4 linked regions of the Saccharomyces cerevisiae S288C genome follow. Changing the gene in region 4 together with the main gene of any one other region gives a genetic interaction. Each region holds a gene or a part of one and is shown on either strand. Other genes may lie near its edges. The genes, in order: CLB2, BMH1, PAC1 and CIN8.

Region 1 (4,806 bases), on a different chromosome or scaffold from region 4:
TGATAAATGTGTAAACTAAGATAAGTGTTGAGATCGGATTTTGATAAAGGCATTTGTTTGGGGTGTATGAGTTGGGAAAAGAAACAACAATCATCTCTTGACCAGTTTTCCTACTACTAGTGTGTTATCATATAGCGTAAGAGTATGACATAGAGATTGAGAAACAGAAACTGAATCATAACGAACATCACAGAATTTACATTTCTACACAATTTTCAGAAAAAGTGGAGTGGTGATATATGCTTATTGTTCTACAAGTTCTCTTCATGCGTTTTTGTTTATCTATCTTATTGAATTATTATCTTCATGCATTTATACTTATTAAATTCGATGAACATTTCATATTATTTTTATATGCTTCATAATTCATGTTACTACGATCTATACAGAGTATTATCGTAATGTCTTACCTTTAGCTTGTCACTTAACACATGCACTGCATTTCGAAAAGATGCTTAAGCAAGTTTATCATAATTTGGGAGTGTTCGGTGAATTTATACAGAAAGCCCCTCCAACGTCTTATTGATAATGTATATTTAGTTCATTTACCAAAATACTATCAATTCATCAACCTCCAAGTGGTTTTGACTAAACAGCCCACAATTGACATATGTGACTGCTAAGCAGACCTTTCTTGAAGTAAATTTCAGGGAAACTAAGCTACGGCCTTTCCAAAATATGGGCAGGAACTGCTTAATCCTTTCCTTTTATTAGATAAGCACTTTAGTATTTTTGTTTTTCATGGCCTTATCCTACGTTATTGTCGTGAAAGAAATGGCAGAAATTTCTGTTGTACATAAATTACTAACTGCCTTACCTTGAAAACGGTTTTATTACAAAAATAGGGGTCAAGTGTTTTGTTATCCCTGTTGTTGTTGTTTTATAAGTCCTAATCTCGCTTGAATATCGCCCATATTCACACCCTGTTCTTGACCGTCTACTAAGGTGCCTTAGGGGGACTCAAACTTAAGATCGCCTTCTACGCGTTTTATGCTATGATCATTAGTGTTGATGCATCGGAAGTTTAAAAATTAAGTGCGAGTGCATTAGCACAGTGGAATTATTAGAATGACCACTACTCCTTCTAATCAAACACGCGGAAATAGCCGCCAAAAGACAGATTTTATTCCAAATGCGGGTAACTATTTGTATAATATGTTTACATATTGAGCCCGTTTAGGAAAGTGCAAGTTCAAGGCACTAATCAAAAAAGGAGATTTGTAAATATAGCGACCGAATCAGGAAAAGGTCAACAACGAAGTTCGCGATATGGATGAACTTCGGTGCCTGTCCCTCGAGGAAATAGCAAACTCGTTACAGCTAGCATCTCATAGCATGGGCATAGAGTTTCAGAAATTTTGCTCTTAATGGAAAATATAACCTCTTTGGGGAAAAGAGAAATAGATCCTTTCTCAAAAATTTAGAAAGGAAAAAAAATCAAAATATAATAAAATAGATTTTTTTTAGGTTAATTTTTTGCCAATTTAGCTAGACTTTTGAAAAGATCCAAAAATTTACTAAAATTGAATCTTTCTGGTATTAATTTTGTCCTATACCTCAAGAAGTAAAGTATTCTCGAATTGATACTTCTGAAAAGCGAAAGAAATATAGCTAAAGGATACTGGTTATTTATTCTTTCTTTTTTTCTTTCTTTTTGATTGAGCCAGTGTATAATAAAAACCTACTGCGAGCTATTCAATAAATTGACATAGAATATCTGTTGAAGCGGTTCTTTGATTGAGCATCTGTTTTCCTTTTGTATTTTTGTCCTTTTAGATTCTTTTAACGACATTGGAGAAATTTTAATCATTGTATAAAAACTTCATTCGCTCGTTTGTCAGAAGTTTTTTTATAACTTGCTATTTCCTTCCAAGAAGCCTTTTATTGATTACCCCCTCTCTCTCTTCATTGATCTTATAGATGTCCAACCCAATAGAAAACACAGAAAACTCACAGAATACTAGTTCATCAAGGTTTTTGAGGAATGTACAAAGGTTGGCCTTAAACAATGTAACAAATACGACATTTCAAAAGAGTAATGCGAATAATCCAGCCCTAACAAATTTCAAATCTACACTAAACTCAGTAAAGAAGGAGGGAAGTCGGATTCCTCAATTTACTAGAGAAAGCGTATCAAGATCAACAGCCGCACAAGAGGAGAAAAGAACCCTGAAAGAAAATGGTATCCAACTCCCCAAAAACAATCTTTTAGATGATAAAGAAAACCAAGACCCAAGTAGTCAGCAATTTGGTGCGCTAACTTCTATAAAGGAGGGGAGAGCTGAGCTGCCTGCAAATATAAGTTTACAAGAATCCTCCTCAGCGAAGGAGATAATCCAGCATGATCCCCTAAAAGGCGTTGGATCAAGCACTGAGGTAGTCCATAACTCGGTAGAAAACGAAAAACTTCATCCAGCTAGAAGTCAACTTCAAGTTAGAAATACCGAAAGTGAAACTGATAGTGGAAAAAAAAGACCAATTTCTACAATTGTTGAACAAGAACTGCCCAAAAAGTTTAAAGTGTGCGATGAAAATGGCAAAGAAGAATATGAATGGGAAGACCTAGATGCAGAAGATGTAAATGATCCATTCATGGTCAGCGAGTACGTCAATGATATATTCGAATATCTCCACCAACTAGAGGTCATTACTCTTCCAAAGAAGGAAGATCTCTATCAGCATAGAAATATTCATCAAAATCGAGATATCCTAGTTAATTGGTTGGTTAAAATCCATAATAAATTCGGCTTATTACCGGAGACTTTGTATCTTGCCATTAACATAATGGACAGGTTTTTAGGTAAAGAGCTAGTTCAACTGGATAAGTTACAATTGGTTGGCACATCATGCCTTTTCATTGCCTCTAAATATGAAGAGGTCTATTCTCCTAGTATAAAACATTTCGCATCAGAGACAGACGGTGCATGTACGGAAGATGAAATCAAAGAAGGGGAGAAATTCATTTTAAAGACATTGAAATTTAACCTAAATTATCCCAATCCGATGAATTTTCTGAGAAGAATTTCGAAAGCAGATGACTACGATATACAGTCTCGAACTCTTGCCAAATTCTTATTAGAGATATCATTGGTAGATTTCAGATTTATTGGGATACTACCCTCATTGTGTGCAGCAGCTGCGATGTTTATGTCGAGAAAAATGTTAGGTAAAGGTAAATGGGATGGAAATCTAATACACTATAGCGGCGGGTATACTAAAGAAGAACTTGCGCCCGTGTGTCACATGATAATGGATTATCTAGTGAGTCCAATTGTTCATGATGAATTTCATAGAAAATATCAATCTAGAAGATTTATGAAAGCTTCTATAATTTCCGTCCAATGGGCTTTAAAGGTTAGAAAAAACGGCTATGATATAATGACCTTGCATGAATGAGAAGAGGGGCAGATGCTTAAAATATCTAAAACGATAATCGATAAATGTCCATATAAAATGTATGGCTGCTTTTTAATCATTTCTTTTCACATTTCCATTTATTCTTACAAATTTCACACCCAATTTTAGCGCCTTTCATTCTGTTATTTTTAAACTGACGATAAAAAATCATTCGAAGCCTAAGATTTCCAAAATAAAACTCCATTTTTATTCTCACTAATAACACCACACCATTAATTTTAATTTTTTAATTTTAATTTCAGATTTGTACCATAAGTTTTATTCTATTTCAGTTCAACCGTTTCCGGATGCATGTAGCGAGGGTAGACAAAGAAAAGCATCAGTATCGGATGTTGATATTATGGGAAATATCATAACCTTAGTCTCTTAAAAAATGCTGCTTTCTTCTCATTTTTCATTTCTTTTAAAATTATTTCAGTATAGTTATTATAATTAACATTGGAATAACATTAATAATAATAATTTTTTAATAGTAATAATGATAATAATAATAATAAAAATAAAAGAATAAATTTAAAAACAAAAAAAATTCTAATATTAATGATGATAATAGTAGTAATACTGGTGGTATTATATATGTTGAAGTGAACACGCATATCACTATAAACTATATATACATATATATAGATAGATAGATAGATGCAAAAAATTTTTTCCTTTTAGTTCAGCAAAAAGAAAAGAAAATGTAAAGAGTATGCGAATTCATGAGCATTACTAGTACTAATCTACTTAAGATTAAATAGATTTTGAAAGTTGCTATGCATTTCGGATGTACACCACTTGAAAGTTTGGAAATAAACAGAGCCATACCTTGGTTTCTTGTACTTCAAAATCAATGAATCTAAATGAGTTTTGGAACTAGCGATGTCTTTGACTAGATCAATGCAGAGAGACTGAAACGCTTCATCGTGTATTGGATCGATACCACCACTGTAATGCTGTAGTGTTCCATTCCATAGCTCGTTCTTGTTTCTGTTGGTCATTCTTCTCGCTATATACATTGCCATTGCGCTTACGGTAGATGGAGGTAAATGAATGAATTGGTGGCAGCAGTAGGCATACTCTAAAATAAACTTACCAATATTTCTATTAACCGGATCGTAATCATCTGCCTTGGAGATCCTCCTTAGGAAATTGAGTGGGTTGGGCCAACCAATGTTGAATTCTAAGGAAGTGAGCATGAACATTTCCGCATTTTTTATGTCGTTTTTAGAAGCCGCGCCGTCAGTGATATAAGCGTATTCAGCTAGTTTGGGCAAATTTACCTCTTCAAATTTTGCCGCGATGAAAAGTGAGGTAACTGCCAATAATTGTAACTTGTTCATCGTAACTTTATTTTTAGCTAAAAATCTATCCATTAAGTTTATGGATAGGAATAACGTTTCCGGA
Region 2 (4,476 bases), 510 kb from region 4:
ATGGTACGAACATGACCTATCCTGGTGGGAGTGCGAAGAACAGCTCCTAACCCGCGGACCAATTGTGATGGTTGGCGTTTGAATGAAGCAGCAAGCATTGGCACAAATGTGGTTTCCTTTCTTATTGCTGTATCCAACTTTTGTGAAGATACAGGTGCGACAAACATAAAAAAGTTCTTGCCGTTAAGAAGCTAAAGTTGCTTCTCGCTATACCAGAGGGGATTATTGTCGGGAGTCATGATGCGACATTTACCCGGTTGAGTAAGGAAGGGGTGGAGGAATCAGAAGAGAGATAAATAAACATACACGTCAAAACAGTATAGTTCAAGTAACACATATAGACATGTACACGCGCGATTACGTGTGTACATGCACATGTTAATGTTATATACATATATAGATATAGATATATAATTGCAATAATGAACTACAAATTATTACACCCCCGTTCTTTTTTTTTTCTTTTTTTTAGTAATTTCTCTTTAGATTTATCAGAATACTTACTTTGGTGCTTCACCTTCGGCGGCAGCAGGTGGCTGCTGTTGCTGATGTTGTTGTTGTTGTTGTTGGTCTTCAGCTTGACCGGACTCGGACATGTCTGAAGTCCATAAGGTTAAATTGTCCCTTAGCAGTTGCATGATAAGTGTGCTATCTTTGTATGATTCTTCAGACAGAGTGTCCAACTCAGCAATAGCGTCGTCAAAAGCTTGCTTGGCCAAATGGCAGGCTTTGTCTGGAGAGTTTTGAATTTCATAATAGAAGACAGAGAAGTTAAGAGCCAAACCTAGACGGATTGGGTGAGTTGGGGGTAACTCTGTGGTGGCAATTTCAGAAGCGGTCTTGTATGCTTCTAAAGAGGCGTTTGTGGCCTTTTCTCTAGCATCGCCACTAGAAAATTCAGCCAAATAACGGTGGTAGTCACCCTTCATCTTATAGTAGAAAACCTTGGACTCGCCAGTGGTGGCTGATGGAATTAAGTGGGAGTCTAGCACGGACAAAATATCGTCGGAGATCTTAGTTAGTTCGGTCTCAATCTTCGAACGGTACGAACAAATCAACTCGACCTGGTGTTCGGACTTCTCCTTGGACTCCTCCTTTTGCTCAATAGAAGAAACAATTCTCCAAGAGGCACGACGAGCACCAATAACGTTCTTATAAGCAACAGACAACAAATTACGCTCTTCGACCGACAACTCTTGGCCAGAGGAGGCAACAGTCTTCATGTTTTCGACCATTTCTTCATAACGTTCGGCCTGTTCAGCCAACTTGGCTAGGTACACAGAATCTTCACGACTGGTTGACATTTTTATCTTTAGTTTATCTTTAACTTGCTTTTTCTTCTCACTTGCTTGCGCTCTCAATTTTGAAAAGTAGGAAAAACTAAGTTATTTTTGCAGAAACTACACGGTTTTATGTTACGGTTCGTCTCGTTTTCAGGTTTAAGGTCCAATAATAAAGAGTTTCCTTTTCCTTTTTCCTTTTTGCTGCGCGTGGAAAAGCGTGTCTTTTTCTCATACCCCTGTTTTTTTGTTTTTTTTTTTATTTTTTTTGCTTTTCTTTGCTTTTTGCCTCGTCCCCCCGCGCCCCGGCCACAAAGAGGAAGCTATTTGCCACCGAGCTTCCTCTTTTGACTCCAGGCCGGAATAAAGTAGCTTCCGCAAAACTTCGCTCCACTTTCCAAAGAGGAAGCCCGTCACGTGGCTGCGCTGTCTCCCCCCCCCCCCCCCCTTTTTCCCCTGTGTTTTCGATCTACCGATTTTCTGTTCTATAACTACGTCCATTATCTATCTATATCTATCTATCTCTGCATTGCGCAATCAATACATAAACAGTGGATTTTCTTGCCGCCGCCTAGCCGGCTAGTAAGCTGTGAGATCAGTGAATATGACCTCTTGTTCCTCGAGGTAGGTAATGTAGTCTTTCCATAGGGGGTCTCCTTTTCTTAAGACATTCTTGTTGCCCACCACAATTAGTCCGTGCTTGGCTCTTGTCAATGCCACGTTTAACCTTCTTTTGTCACGTAAAAAGCCGATTTTGTTTTCGGTGTTATTTCTGACACATGAAAATATGATGAAAGATTTTTCGTGGCCTTGAAAGGAGTCTACGGTCGCGACGTGTAGGCCGTTGATGATGTTAATCACATTGTTTTGTAGACTGCCGGCGGTTCCTTGAGAACCAGCCGCGTTAAATAGCTCAATTTCATCGTATTCTTGTTGCATAGAAATCTGTTTGGGGTTGATAACTACGTTTTTGGTCAAGATGTCAGACAGCAGATCACGCTGTGCAGAATAGGGCGTTATGACACCAATTTCTTCCAGCGGAACCTTCTTGTCCAACATTAGTATTTGGATAATCTTCACGATTTCTACACATTCGTGTTTGTTTTCGTACGTAAACCCGACTATGTCTCTTTGCGTGCTTCTCACTCTGCTCTCGGGCCCCAAATCGCACTGATAAAAAAACAACGGATGCTGCACGCCAGGCCATGCCTTTTGTTCGTCCGTGACACCGTCCTTCAATTCACCATTGTATATTTTCTTAATGGGGAATTCGCTAATTTTTGGGTGCATTCTGTACTGCGTATCCAGCATTAGTGGGTTTTTGTACGTGCCATTAGATAGGACTCTTTCGAATAGTGAGGTTTCCAGTTGAGGGATGTTGCTGAAACTTGACAATTGCTTTTCGTCCCCAACGAAGACAAAATTTCTTATACCTGGTAACGAAAGTGGGACTAGTGTTGAAGCCTCTGATGATTGTGTAGCCTCATCCATTATTACCACGGGACATTCTTTTATAACCTTCAATTCACGACCACCTGCAGCAATGTTTGTCGTGAAAATTATTTGCGATTGAGATACGACCTTGTTGGTGACACGGTTTTTCTCTTTATAAAACTTCGTGTCCTCTGATTTGGAGATCATTTCGCCCCTGCGGGTTTTGTTTGCCACGACTTGCATGTCTGGGGAAAGATTTTTGTATACAATATTGTGGAGACAAATTTCGCCCAATGGGTGGTCATCACTATACTGTTGTTCTTTCTTCTTTGACAAAATTCTTAAGATCTTTATCTGCGGTCTATTCTCCATAATCTTCTCGGCAATGTTATCAATAGCAATATTTGACGCGGCAACACACAATATTGGGAATGCGTGAAATCTTTCAATTACTTGGATGATTATCTCCTCTATTGTTGATGTTTTACCTGTACCAGGTGGGCCTTGTAGAATTGTGATACTGTTGTTTAGAACATGTTCCACTGCAGTCTTCTGAGATCGGTTCAACTTGTCACTGGAAAATTTTAGCCTGTTATCAAAATAAATCTCTTTAATAGGCTTTTGGCCTAGTAATAGGTCAATAAATTTTGGGTTTGTAATACGCGTCATGGCAAATAGAATTCTACTTGTCTGCGCAGAAGTTGGCAATAGCTTAAATTGAGATGAACCATTTTTCGTTGGCAAACTCAAATTATTCCACGAAAAAAGCTCCACTAACAACACGTATTTACCCCTTTGAATAGAAAGTTCTTTGATAAAAATATACCAAACTTTTTGTTCATCCTGAGTACAAAAGAAAAATGGTTGCCTTTCATTAAATGCCGGTCTACCGAGTGCAAGCAAATTTGCAGGTAGTAATTTCTCAAGTTCTGAATTATTATTCTTCTCAACGTTGATTATAAAAGCTGTATCTTTTTCATTGCGAGGCCATAGTATGTTGAAGTTTTGAACAAATTCGTTCTCTAATTTCTGTTCCAAAAAAAGGGCAAATGAGTAATCATTTAGGTATGTGTTCAAATCGGGGTATGATAAGGTTGACTTAAAGGTATTATACCTTGTGAGTGGTTCACCTTCTTCGTAAATAAGTTTCCCGTCCTTAGTTTTTCCATTATTTTTCTCTTGATTTTTTGTCTCCAACTTTTTTGGCATCGTTGTTGTTTTTGATTTTTCATTCAGCGTCGGCTTGCTAGCCTTCTTATTGCGGTTTCGCGATTTAGTAATTGAAGTTGTGTTCTCGTTTGGGCTAATACTAGGTTCTCTAGAAGATTCAGTATCAGATCCAATTGTCCACCTGCTAGTTCCCTTATTTGGCTGGTTATTTGATTTTTTGCCAAGTGCATTCTTTCTGCCAGCTGAATTTAGTTTGGCCTCTCGCGGATTCTTATTACCCGTTTTATCATTGCCCTTAGTCTTCTGGCCAGCATGGTCTTTTTTCCCTTTTTTCAAACCAGTAGTATTAGTACTGCCCGACCCGTTTCCATTCAAAGCTTTTGGTTGCGGTAATTGGTGCTTATCCACTGATTCGTTCTTGCCTTTCCCTCCAGAGTTTGTTGTAACGTGGCTATTGGTATTTTTTCTGTCCTCTGGTATAGGTTGGCTGTTACGGACATTATTTCTAATGTTTGTTTTCCTCTCTTTCTCTTTTCCTATCCCATTTCCACTATTCTTTTTGTGGTTTGCCTTATTTCCTTTCCCTTTGTTT
Region 3 (5,162 bases), on a different chromosome or scaffold from region 4:
TTATGGGCCTTATCATTGGCACATGCTCAATTGTCTAGTGTTTTATGGACAATGACAATTCAAATTGCCTTTGGATTTAGAGGATTTGTGGGTGTGTTTATGACGGTTGCACTTTTTGCCATGTGGTTCGCACTAACATGTGCAGTTCTTGTTTTGATGGAAGGTACATCTGCCATGCTTCATTCCTTACGTTTGCACTGGGTTGAATCTATGTCCAAGTTTTTCGTGGGTGAAGGTTTACCATACGAACCATTCGCATTTGAGTATAAAGACATGGAAGTCGCTGTTGCTAGTGCAAGCTCTTCCGCTTCAAGCTAAATTTTGAGGACTTTTAAAAAAAGCGAAACATTTAAGTACTTCATTAAATAATAAATGATGCTACTATATAGTGAGTAAACCTTATTATATACTATCAATGCTAATTCAATAAAGTATTTAAAGTATCAACCAATGCTTAAAAAGAGTCAAAAAAAAGGGAAAAAGAAATAGGAAAGCCAAACTTATCTCATGAAAACGTTAGACTTGCAATCCAATCCACCAGTGACCATCATTTGCCTTGGGGTAACGTTAGAATCGAAATCCACATCCAGGTCTAAACAGTTGACAAATCCTGTATGCAACTTTTCCCAAACGTGTAAGCACTGCCCCGTGTTCAGATCCCAACATCTGACAGATTTATCATCAGCACAAGAAAACAAGTATTGGCCTCGAATACTAATATCTCTAACCCACGAAAGATGCCCCTTCAACGTAAGAACACATCTGAAATTTGAATCTGTAGGATTCGGTATGGGTGCTCTATGGGCCATTAACGTAGGTAGAGGTATCTCCCAGATTTTTATCGTTCTATCTCTTGACGCTGAGACACAATATTGCATCCCCCAATTCTTATATCGATCCGTTGATGGTGTTCTAAACCTTATCTCCGGAGAGTCTTCGATGAAATGAATAAATTTAACTTTCTCTATGGGAAATTCATGACCCGTGCCAACACTAAGACCATTACCTGATGGCCAATGTGTTAACCTTAATGTAGTGTCATGTGAACCAGAGATGATGTAATCGCCTAGAACGTCTATGGAACGAACCCATTGGGAATGAGGCTGAAATGTTTTCAACGACCAACCATTGTGGAAGTCCCAAATTTTAACAGTTTGATCTCTGGAACAGGACGCTATATGGACATCATTATTTTTCTGCCAGATTTTTACCGCAGAGACAATATGCTCATGGCCCAATAAAGACCTAATTTGTTGGAACTTGCATTCCTCGGAGACCCACTTGAAAACATGAATCTGCAAATCTTTAGACGCGGTAACGATCACCAAATAGTTCTTCTTGCTGGAGTTCGTATAATTGGTAAATAAAACATCCATGGAGGTAATTGCCTTGGTATGACTTTGCAAGGATGCCAGAGGGATGGTGTAGTTAAATAAATCAAATGCGTATAATTTGCCATGATCTGTGGCCACAAACACTATAGGCAAATTGGGATGTAGTTTGACGGAAGTGACAGATGATTCAACATTAATTAAACAGCTTGGTAGATTTCTCGGTATCCATTTCAAAACATTATGTGCGCTGGTGCCGTTACTGGTGGTAGGTTTGAATTGTGCTAGTTCTGACACTTGAGTGTTCAAATCTTTAATCTGAGATACAAGGGTCTCTGTATTCTGCTCCAATTCAATGATTTTTTTTTGTAGTCTAACAATTGAGTTCCACTTCTTCGGTAGCAGTAATTCATCAATGTCTACCATACTTTCGTTACTGGTGTCATTGTTACTGATGAATTCTTGCCGGTCCACTGATTCTTGCAACAGAAAACCTGATAGAGTTACAATTGCATGTCGAACACTTTCGTAATCTTGAGCATGCTCATGTCGTACAGTTTGTTTGTAATTCCAATTCAAATATCGGAGGACACTTTTATCGAGTTCATTTTTCTGTGTATCTGTTAAAGGAAGCTGTTGCTGCCAGTTAGTCATTTCTATTTTTTTCTACACTTACGCACGCACAGGTGTATACCAACAACCGGACGACGAACCTAGCTGCTTTATCAATGGCTATCTGGGCGACGATGGCCCAATACTAAGATTACCTATTACGTTTACACTCGCCAAAAATAAGAAACAAGTGCAATATGCACGACTTGCAAGCTGAAAATATTTCAAAACACCCACATCCCACAGCACAAAACCAGTGCAAATTCCATAAAGGGAAGTGAATTAAATTCAATGGTAGATGAAAGCACTTTTTCAGGAACCGTTTTAAGATCTAATTGTAGTTTACCAAGATATACTAAAACGTCGTTACTCGTTTTATTTACCTACCATTAGCTAACCGTTGCCATGGCTACCGTCCGGGTCGCCAGCGGCTGCTACTGCAAAAGTTGACAACGAAAAAGAGAAAAAAAAAATTCTCGGCACGCAAGACCTGAATGGTTTTTGTTTTCCCCTTCCCATTTTTTTCTTATGGTTTTTCCAGTTTTCTAGAAGCCGGAAAAAAGGCAAGCTACAAAATGTACTACGCGGAGCCAGAATTAAAAACCACGCGGACGGGACGGGCCGTGGCTTGTGACGCCGGATCCCCGCGTATAATCCGTGTCACGCTAAAGGACAAAATCGGTTTATCCGAGCGGTTTACGGGAAGGGTCTTTTGCTATCTCGCAGTAGCGTGTGCCTGGTTATCCCAATACTACCACCACACCTGTGCTTTTTTTATCTTGTACGTGCATGTATGCGTATGTTTTCTTTTTTTCCGTTGGTGCTTATTCGCTACCGTCTCGTTGATCCATGAATCACAAACACAAGCCGGTTCTGCTTACTATACAAAATAGTCTTGTGTCTTGATTCATATATCCGTCAATAACGTAGCCTTTCTTTATTTTCCTTTCGCTCACCATACTCTTGCATTAGTGTATTTTGTCTTTTATATCGCCAATAAGTGCCCAACTCTTCTACCTGACCCCTACGTCGTCGCCGCCCCTTTTCTTTTTCTTCGCCTAGTTCTATTTGGCTATATATTTCAGAGTGACAAATCTTTAAGAGAGACAAACTGAGAATTAGCATATAGAATCATTCATACAACTGTTTACAAACAAGTAAGCCCAAGACAGTTCCCAACCGCTTAAAGAAGTTTTTCCTAGAGGGAGCAAAGTTCGTTTACATTTCACACACACAGTTTTTTTTCACTTTTTTGGGCCTCTTCCTTTTCCCGTTTTTTTCAAAAAGCTTAGAAATCTTCTTCACCTCCTATTTTTCTAGAATCGTGAAGAATTTCCAGATTTAACAGTTTTCCACTTTTTCAATAAGGAAATAGTAGGAATAATAAAAAAAGGATAGTAGTAACGATATACGTCGACTTTCCAGACTGGTCTCGAGCCGGAATTAAATACAATAGCAGCGTTTGACTACCACATTGTAGCTCCGCTAGAATTGATCGAAAACAAAAATAATAACACTAATAATTATAATAATACGGTAGAACTATTTCTCGTATAAAGATGCCTAATCTATTGTCGAGAAACCCATTCCATGGTCATCATAATGACCATCATCATGACCGTGAAAATTCGTCTAATAACCCGCCACAGTTGATCAGAAGTTCTAAATCTTTCTTAAACTTCATTGGTAGAAAACAAAGTAATGACTCACTAAGAAGCGAGAAATCTACAGATTCCATGAAATCTACCACAACCACTACAAATTATACTACAACAAACCTTAATAACAACACCCATAGCCATTCTAATGCAACCAGTATCTCAACAAACAACTACAATAATAACTATGAAACAAACCACCACCATAATATTTCTCATGGGCTCCATGACTATACTTCTCCCGCCTCTCCAAAACAAACCCACTCCATGGCAGAATTGAAAAGGTTTTTCAGACCTTCTGTAAATAAAAAACTATCTATGTCTCAACTTCGTTCCAAGAAACATAGCACCCATTCCCCCCCACCTTCAAAATCAACTTCTACAGTTAATTTAAATAATCACTATCGTGCCCAGCATCCTCATGGCTTTACAGACCACTATGCTCATACCCAGTCTGCTATACCGCCAAGTACCGATTCTATCCTATCTTTGTCCAATAATATTAATATATATCACGATGATTGTATTCTGGCTCAAAAATACGGGAAATTGGGTAAGTTATTGGGTTCCGGTGCCGGTGGGTCCGTTAAAGTTCTTGTGAGACCAACTGATGGTGCTACTTTTGCCGTCAAAGAATTCAGACCAAGGAAACCGAATGAGAGTGTGAAAGAATATGCCAAGAAGTGCACCGCAGAATTTTGTATTGGTTCGACTTTACATCACCCAAATGTTATCGAAACTGTTGACGTTTTCTCTGATTCTAAACAAAATAAATACTATGAAGTTATGGAGTACTGTCCGATTGATTTTTTTGCTGTTGTTATGACAGGCAAGATGTCTCGTGGCGAGATCAACTGTTGCTTGAAGCAATTGACTGAAGGTGTTAAATATTTACATTCTATGGGATTGGCACATAGAGATTTGAAATTGGATAATTGTGTCATGACTTCCCAGGGTATTTTGAAATTAATTGATTTTGGTAGTGCTGTTGTGTTCAGATATCCTTTTGAAGATGGCGTAACGATGGCTCATGGAATCGTGGGTAGTGACCCTTACTTAGCGCCGGAAGTGATTACCTCCACCAAATCTTATGATCCTCAGTGCGTCGATATATGGTCTATTGGGATCATATATTGTTGTATGGTGCTTAAAAGGTTTCCATGGAAAGCCCCTAGAGATTCTGACGATAATTTTAGATTATATTGTATGCCGGATGATATAGAACACGACTATGTTGAATCTGCCAGGCATCACGAAGAGTTACTGAAGGAAAGAAAAGAAAAGCGTCAAAGGTTTTTGAATCACAGTGACTGTTCCGCCATCAATCAGCAACAACCAGCTCATGAATCAAACTTGAAAACAGTTCAAAATCAAGTTCCAAATACTCCAGCATCTATACAGGGTAAAAGCGATAACAAACCAGACATTGTGGAAGAAGAAACCGAAGAAAATAAAGAAGATGATAGCAATAATGATAAAGAAAGCACGCCAGATAATGACAAGGAAAGTACCATCGATATTAAAATAAGCAAAAATGAGAATAAAAGCACGGTAGTTTCAG
Region 4 (6,417 bases):
CTGTCAATCTTATGTTACGTTCCCAGAAGTGTCTAAAATATCGAACTTGCCCTTAAACAAAAGTCTGGGTTCAGGTGACCAAGACTCACCATCATTTTCTGTACGAAGAAAATCCAAATCATCTAGCATACCGTCAAACCCGGATTCTAGAACTACATCTTTTAGTTCTACCAGTAGAGTTTCTCAAAACTCCTCCTTAAATTCCTCTTTTTCATCAATTTATAAAGACTGGAGGCAATCACAAACCTCCTGCTCGAGTTCAAATATTCATGTCATCAACAATCGTAACCGATTCCTACCAACAAGATCATGCCTATTTGACCTTTATAGGTCACTTTCACAAGGTCAAACGCTGAAAACATGGTATGAGTCGAAATATATGATTTTAAAAGAAAATAACATTGATATAAGAAGGTTCATAACGTTTGGCCTGGAAAAACGTATCATTTACAGGTGCTACTCTTTTCCTGTAATGATAAATGCAGGTTCACGTGAACCAAAAGAAATGACACCAATAATAACAAAAGATTTAGTGAATAATGATAAGTTACTTGAAAAAAGAAATCACAATCATTTGCTTTCAGCCACAGGGTCTAGAAATACGGCACAATCCGGCAACTTGAAACCAGAAAGACCATCAAAGGTTTCATTTGAAATGCAAAGGGTAAGTTCGTTGGCAACAGGCAAAAGTACTATGCCGAAACTCAGCGACGAAGAAGAAGGTATTCTTGAAGAGTCTATTAGGAATGCCGAAACATTTGATAAAATTTGCGTTTTACTGAGCAAGCCTAAATTAGAAGTCGAAAGCTACCTAAACGAATTAGGAGAATTTAAGGTAATTAATAGCTGAGTTAAAATTAGAGAAATTCATTGTCCATCAAAATGTTTTTTTTTTTTTTTAATATTACAACTTATTTCCGTAAATAAAGATAGTACACACGAATCCAAACGTTTATATAGTTAGCTCTGTGAAAATTTGATTTAGGTTCATCTCTTGGTGTGTTTGGTAGAGGTGGTTTCACACCCTTCTCTTCTGTCTTGCCTTCTAATGAATAACTGAGTATTCTTTACATACTTTGTTTTTATTAACCACTAGTTTGAATATATATTCGACTGAAAGGCAATATCAACTATTCAATCTTTAACATTTTTCTCGAGCCCTCATTGTCCACATTTTCACTGGATTTGTTTTCATCTTCAATTGCATGCTTTTTGGGCGATATTACACTTTGCACTGAATTGCTATTTATGTTTGATAACCTTAACGGCATTTTCTTACTTAGATTTGGTATTTCCTTCAATATGTTCTCGATCATTTCGTCTTTGGTAGCGTTTTCCTTGTTACCATAGTTTTTCATTATGTTTTCAATCGTATTATAGATATCATCCACATTAGTTATATGAGAGTGTGTTGATGTTATCGAATTTTTAATGTTATCTTTCAACATGTTATGCTTGTTAATAAGCTGCTCAAATTGATCATTAAATTTGGTATTGTTCTTCAAAAGGGATATAGCGTTCTCCGATTCTTCCACTTGTCCTTTCATGACTGAAATAGACTCATTCATCGAATTTGATGATGTATCAACAGTACTCTTGATTTGCGATAGCGTCGCTGCCATGCTATTATAGAATTCGTTATTCATGGAGTCACAATCATTTATCAGATCAAATGAATTTTCCCATTTAACGCGCTTGGGTTCAAACAGATCCATTTCTTGATCAATAACCGCGCTGGTTGCAGTTGTCAGATTCTGCATTATTAGTTTTTTATTTTCGTCAAGGTGGTCATTTAGGACCTTTTTAAAGTTCTCAACAAACTCGTTTGTTCTCTTCTCAATATTTTCATAAGTAGAATCCACATGACGATTCAGTAATTCTTGATGGTTATTCTTGAAAAAATGGTTTTTTAAGTACTGTTTCATGTTGTTATTTTCTTCGCTAATATCAGAAAGATTCTCGGCTATATTTTTATAAAATTTTTGGAAATCTACTCTTATTATGTCGATTTTCTCAATAACAACATTGAAGAATTTAGGAGATTCGTTTAAAATTTTCTTCACACAGTCTTTGTACATTAGTTCAGCTTTTTCTTGCATGGTTCTCATAAGAGTCAGTACTTCATTTTTGATCATATCAAGATTTGGTTGGATATTAGTCTCTTGAAGAATACTTTCCTGTTGCATAGTGTTTAATTGTAAAAACAGTGTAGATTTCAATTTTTTAATTTCTTTAGTAATATGCATTTCAAACTTTTGATTAAGGTCAAGTTCTCTTTTTTTGTAATCATGTAGGGCCATTTGCATTACCTCAGTCAACTTCTGTAGTTTGTTATTAAAATCGGATATTTCAATTTCAGTTTTATGCTGTTTATCTAGTTGTGCCCTTAAATGATCTATGGTAGTTTTCAATGATTCTATTTGGCAATTTTGAGATTGAATAGTTTCTTTTGACTTCAATTTATCTTTTACTAGCAATGCATTTTTCGATGTCAAACTTTCAATTTCTCTTTTACATTCTTGAACTTCATTTTTATAACTTTCTAAATCACTGTTCAAATTTTTGTAGTGATCTTGGCTCATATATATTCCTTCTTTGGACTTTGTAGAGAGTAAATCGGATTTAATCTTTGCTAATTCCATAGTTATATTTTTAACCAAAATATCCTTCATTATAAATGAACCCAGTTGCGGCTTGTTCTTAATGTTTTTAGCCTTCGAAGCATACTCTAATGTACTGCAGGTTTCTTCAGAAGTTACCTTTGCAGGCGATATAGTAGCAATTAGTGCGGTTTTCGTATTACCACCCAGGGAATCTTGAAGCAGGCGGGTCAATTTCGATTCACGGAAAGGTATATGGCCGCTTTTATCTACGAGTGCGTTTATGACCCTGCCCAGCGTCAATAGACTTTGGTTGATTGAACCAGCTTCTTTGGCACGTTGATTTAATGCTCCGGATCTGTTGATGTTTTCTGAACCAGCTAAATCCACAAGATTCATTTTGGAAATTCTAAATAGTTCATCCTGATGCTTCTTATACAAAGTGATTGTAAAAATGGTATGAGATCTACTGGAAAAATCGTTCATTTTAGTGGACGCTACTTGCCTATGCTTTAAGCCTTTTTGTAATAGGTTTAGCCCCTCCATAGCATTTGTTATGTGAAATTCTTGCAAATTCTGGATGTATATACCATTAGTTTGGTCATTTGGAGCCATCGAACTTCTTTGACCGTTATTTGTGTTGGTGTTACTAGAAGCATTATTAGTGGTAGAGCCAGAGTTAGAGGAAGAGTTGTTCCTGGAATTCACTGCCTGTTGTTGTTGATACTGTTGCTTGATGGTATTCGGCAGTGATTTTGTCCTTAACCTTTTTCTTAATAGAGCAGCTTTAGGTGTTAGATCATTTAATGACCTCGGAGAACTGTTCCTAGAATTACTCCTGGAACTACTAGCACTGTTGCTAGTGGTATTATTTGCTGTGCTTGAATCAAAAATCCTCAATTTTTTCATAAATTGGCCGTCAAAGCCAGTATTACTAGAGCCGTTGCTATTGCTGTCCAAGAGGTCCTTCAATTCTTCGTTGTAGAGTTCAATGAACGAACATTTTACTACGTAATCGTTCTGTTGTAGTTCCAATGTGTCAAACAACTTCAAAAGAACCCTCGGTATAATTCCTGCTGCATCGCTCAATTCACCATTATATAACTTTTCGTCGCCCGTCATTGTATATGTTTTACCTGTTGACGTCATACCATATACCAGTACGGTGCAATTGTAACCTTTAATGAAATCCTGGAATAATGGGCCCGCCACTTCATCAAAAATTAGATCCTGGGAAGCGCCGGGACCGAAGACTTTGTCCACTGTGTATCTCTTGGCATTCATTTGAGCAGTTATACCGGTATCTCCCGTCGTGTTAATGGAAATTTCTTTAGAACCTGTAATATCTGGAACATTTACCACAACGGAGCTTTTCATACTAATTTCCCTTTCATTCCTTCCTCTGCATCGCACAGCTACAGTGATGTTCAGTTCCTCATTAGGAACAGTGTGACATCCAACCTGAGAGTTGCCATTTTTACTGATGCTGTTGGAGCTTCTATCTTGACCCGTATTTTGGTTTTCCGCTGGCATCAAACAAATTCTTTCTTGTTGTATTTTTTGCGCTTTTATATACTTTTTATTACTTTTTCCTTTGAATTGCTTGCTTCTGTATCTATACTCAACGTTACTTTCTGGCCATACCATAAGTTCTACACCCGCTGTTGAGAAGCGGGTCACAAAGGAAGTCTTTAGATGATGTTATTGTTGCGGCCTTGTTTGTTTGTTTTGTTTATTTCGCGTACCTAATACATCGTCACCACACACGAAAACGAAAACATTTGATCAGATAAGTGATCTGCAAATAAGATATAATAAAAGTAACAGTTATTTATTTAATTAAAAACGCAAATATGTAGTAATACGTGGGACATATAAATTTCATGAATTAAAAAAAAAAAATGAAATTCAGATTGAAAATAATGGGGATATAAAAAAAGTGGACAAACGATAGTGAAGAGGGACTCCGACTTGTAACCTCGAGACGCCTAAGGAAAGAAAAAGAAAAAAAAAAGCAGCTGAAATTTTTCTAAATGAAGAATTAAATAATATTCAATTTATCAAGAATATCTCTCACTTGATCAAAGATTAAATCGGTCTTTGATCCAATGAATTCATCCATGTTCAATTCTTGCTTGAAACCAGATGAATGGGACTTTTTGGTATCATTCCAGAAAGCGGACAAATCTTGACCACCACCGTTGTAGATTAAAACATTTGGAGTGTCTTCAGGGATATCGAACAAAATGTCCTTTGTACTGTAATGAATTAGCTTCTTTTTCAATTGCTGAGGAGTCAAAGAATCCTGGCCCAATTCGAAAAATTCACTATCAGAACCTGGTTGCAAAGACAAAAAGTAGGTCAACAAACCAGCAACGTGAGGGGAAGCCATTGAGGTACCCGATAAAGTGGCGGTGGCGTCATCACTTCCAATGTAGGTGGACAAAATGTTTAAACCTGGGGCGAAAACGTCGACACACTTACCCCAGTTGGAAAAGTAGGCTCTGTCATCGCTCAACGTGGAAGCTCCGACGGTGATGGCCTTGTCAGCAGAAGCTGGGGAGGTATTACAAGCGTCTTGGTTTTCGTTACCAGCAGCCACGGCAAAGTGAATACCGACTTCAACGGCTGCATTAACAGCCAAGTCCAAAGCTGGGGACTTGCCACCACCAAGCGACATATTGGCTGTGGAACCTTTGAACCCCTTTTTCTTTTCTTGGGCTTCTTTTTGGTGCGCCTTTGCGGCATATTCGACACCTTTGACGACATCAGACATGGTACCAGACCCGTTTGATCTCAAGACTTTCACCGCAACAACGTTGGCATTTTTAGCGACACCGTAGTGTTTGGAAGCGATAGTACCGGCACAGTGGGTACCGTGGCCGTTACCGTCGAGATCTTCGTCGTTAAGTGGGATGGTTTTCCCCCAAATGGCTCTCTTTTCGAAGTCCTTGTGGTTGATGTTGACACCCGTGTCAATAACATAGGACGTGACACCGCGACCGGCATCATCATCGTAGAGATACTTGTTGAAGGACCCCAGGTTGAGGCGCTCTCTGTGGGAAATACGGGCCAACCCCCATGGGGCGCTATTTTGAGTGTCAAATTCTGTAGCCTCGACAATAGAGTCTCTCTCAACAAAGTCTACTAATGGGTTTTGACGTATCAAGTCGACAATCTCTTGGGTGAAGTAACCGATGTAACCGGAGAAAAGATTATCGATGTTGAATGAGTCCTGGATACCGCCAGCCTCAGAGGTGGACAAGGAGGTGTCTTTAGTAGAAATGAAGAAAGCGTCTTCGGCAGATAAGTTCTCTACGGATTGAAGTTGTGCCTGCTGGACGTTTTCCTTGTGGAAATCGATCTCTTCTTGAGGGGCACCTCTCTTGAAGACTATAATGTAGCGGTTGGGGATGATCTTGGAGATCGCGTCTGGGTTGAATTGTGCAGTGGACACGAGAGGAGCCAGCCTGTTGTGGTGCCTCCCTTTCTCCAACGTCTTTTCGTGGTGCTTCTTGCCCTTGACTTTCTTACCTTTCATCTTCTTCTCCTCCACCTTATTTTCGTGGCAGCCACCCTTATGGTGAGGCTTCTTCTTCTTATCATCATTATCATCATCATTGGAACTTTCATGCTTAGGCTTCATGCCCTTTCCTCCCTCGTGGGCGCTCCCATGAGAGCCACTTGCACGTTTACCGTTGAATTCCGGAGACTCCTTGTCTTGGCCCTTGCGGCCCTTCTTATGGAACTTTCCATGTTCTTTATCTTCAGAGTCAGATGGCTCCTCATCATCGTCCTTAGTGAATTCCACTTTTCT

The links.
Region 1: mutations in CIN8 (region 4) and CLB2 are lethal when combined (synthetic lethality), as found in Saccharomyces cerevisiae (6 studies listed by BioGRID, with this or other methods).
Region 2: mutations in CIN8 (region 4) and BMH1 together harm fitness more than expected from each alone (negative genetic interaction), as found in Saccharomyces cerevisiae (5 studies listed by BioGRID, with this or other methods).
Region 3: mutations in CIN8 (region 4) and PAC1 together harm fitness more than expected from each alone (negative genetic interaction), as found in Saccharomyces cerevisiae (6 studies listed by BioGRID, with this or other methods).

What each region holds. Positions count from the first base shown.
Region 1 is NC_001148.4:769,733-774,538, forward strand, and holds CLB2 (B-type cyclin CLB2), read left to right. Parts: upstream 1-1,920; coding exon 1,921-3,396; downstream 3,397-4,806. Other genes in the region: B-type cyclin CLB5, read right to left, coding at 4,143-4,806. UniProt on the Saccharomyces cerevisiae protein: Essential for the control of the cell cycle at the G2/M (mitosis) transition. Interacts with the CDC2 protein kinase to form MPF. G2/M cyclins accumulate steadily during G2 and are abruptly destroyed at mitosis.
Region 2 is NC_001137.3:542,439-546,914, reverse strand, and holds BMH1 (14-3-3 family protein BMH1), read right to left. Parts: upstream 1,305-4,476; coding exon 501-1,304; downstream 1-500. Other genes in the region: PDA1 (pyruvate dehydrogenase (acetyl-transferring) subunit E1 alpha), read right to left, coding at 1-98; ECM32 (RNA helicase), read right to left, coding at 1,860-4,476. UniProt on the Saccharomyces cerevisiae protein: Involved in growth regulation.
Region 3 is NC_001147.6:823,208-828,369, reverse strand, and holds PAC1 (Pac1p), read right to left. Parts: upstream 1,986-5,162; coding exon 501-1,985; downstream 1-500. Other genes in the region: VPH1 (H(+)-transporting V0 sector ATPase subunit a), read left to right, coding at 1-318; YOR268C (uncharacterized protein), read left to right, coding at 2,438-2,836; putative serine/threonine protein kinase HRK1, read left to right, coding at 3,503-5,162.
Region 4 is NC_001137.3:35,405-41,821, forward strand, and holds CIN8 (kinesin motor protein CIN8), read right to left. Parts: upstream 4,134-6,417; coding exon 1,131-4,133; downstream 1-1,130. Other genes in the region: nitrogen permease regulating protein NPR2, read left to right, coding at 1-850; PRB1 (proteinase B), read right to left, coding at 4,642-6,417. UniProt on the Saccharomyces cerevisiae protein: Elongates the mitotic spindle by interacting with spindle microtubules to generate an outward force pushing spindle poles apart.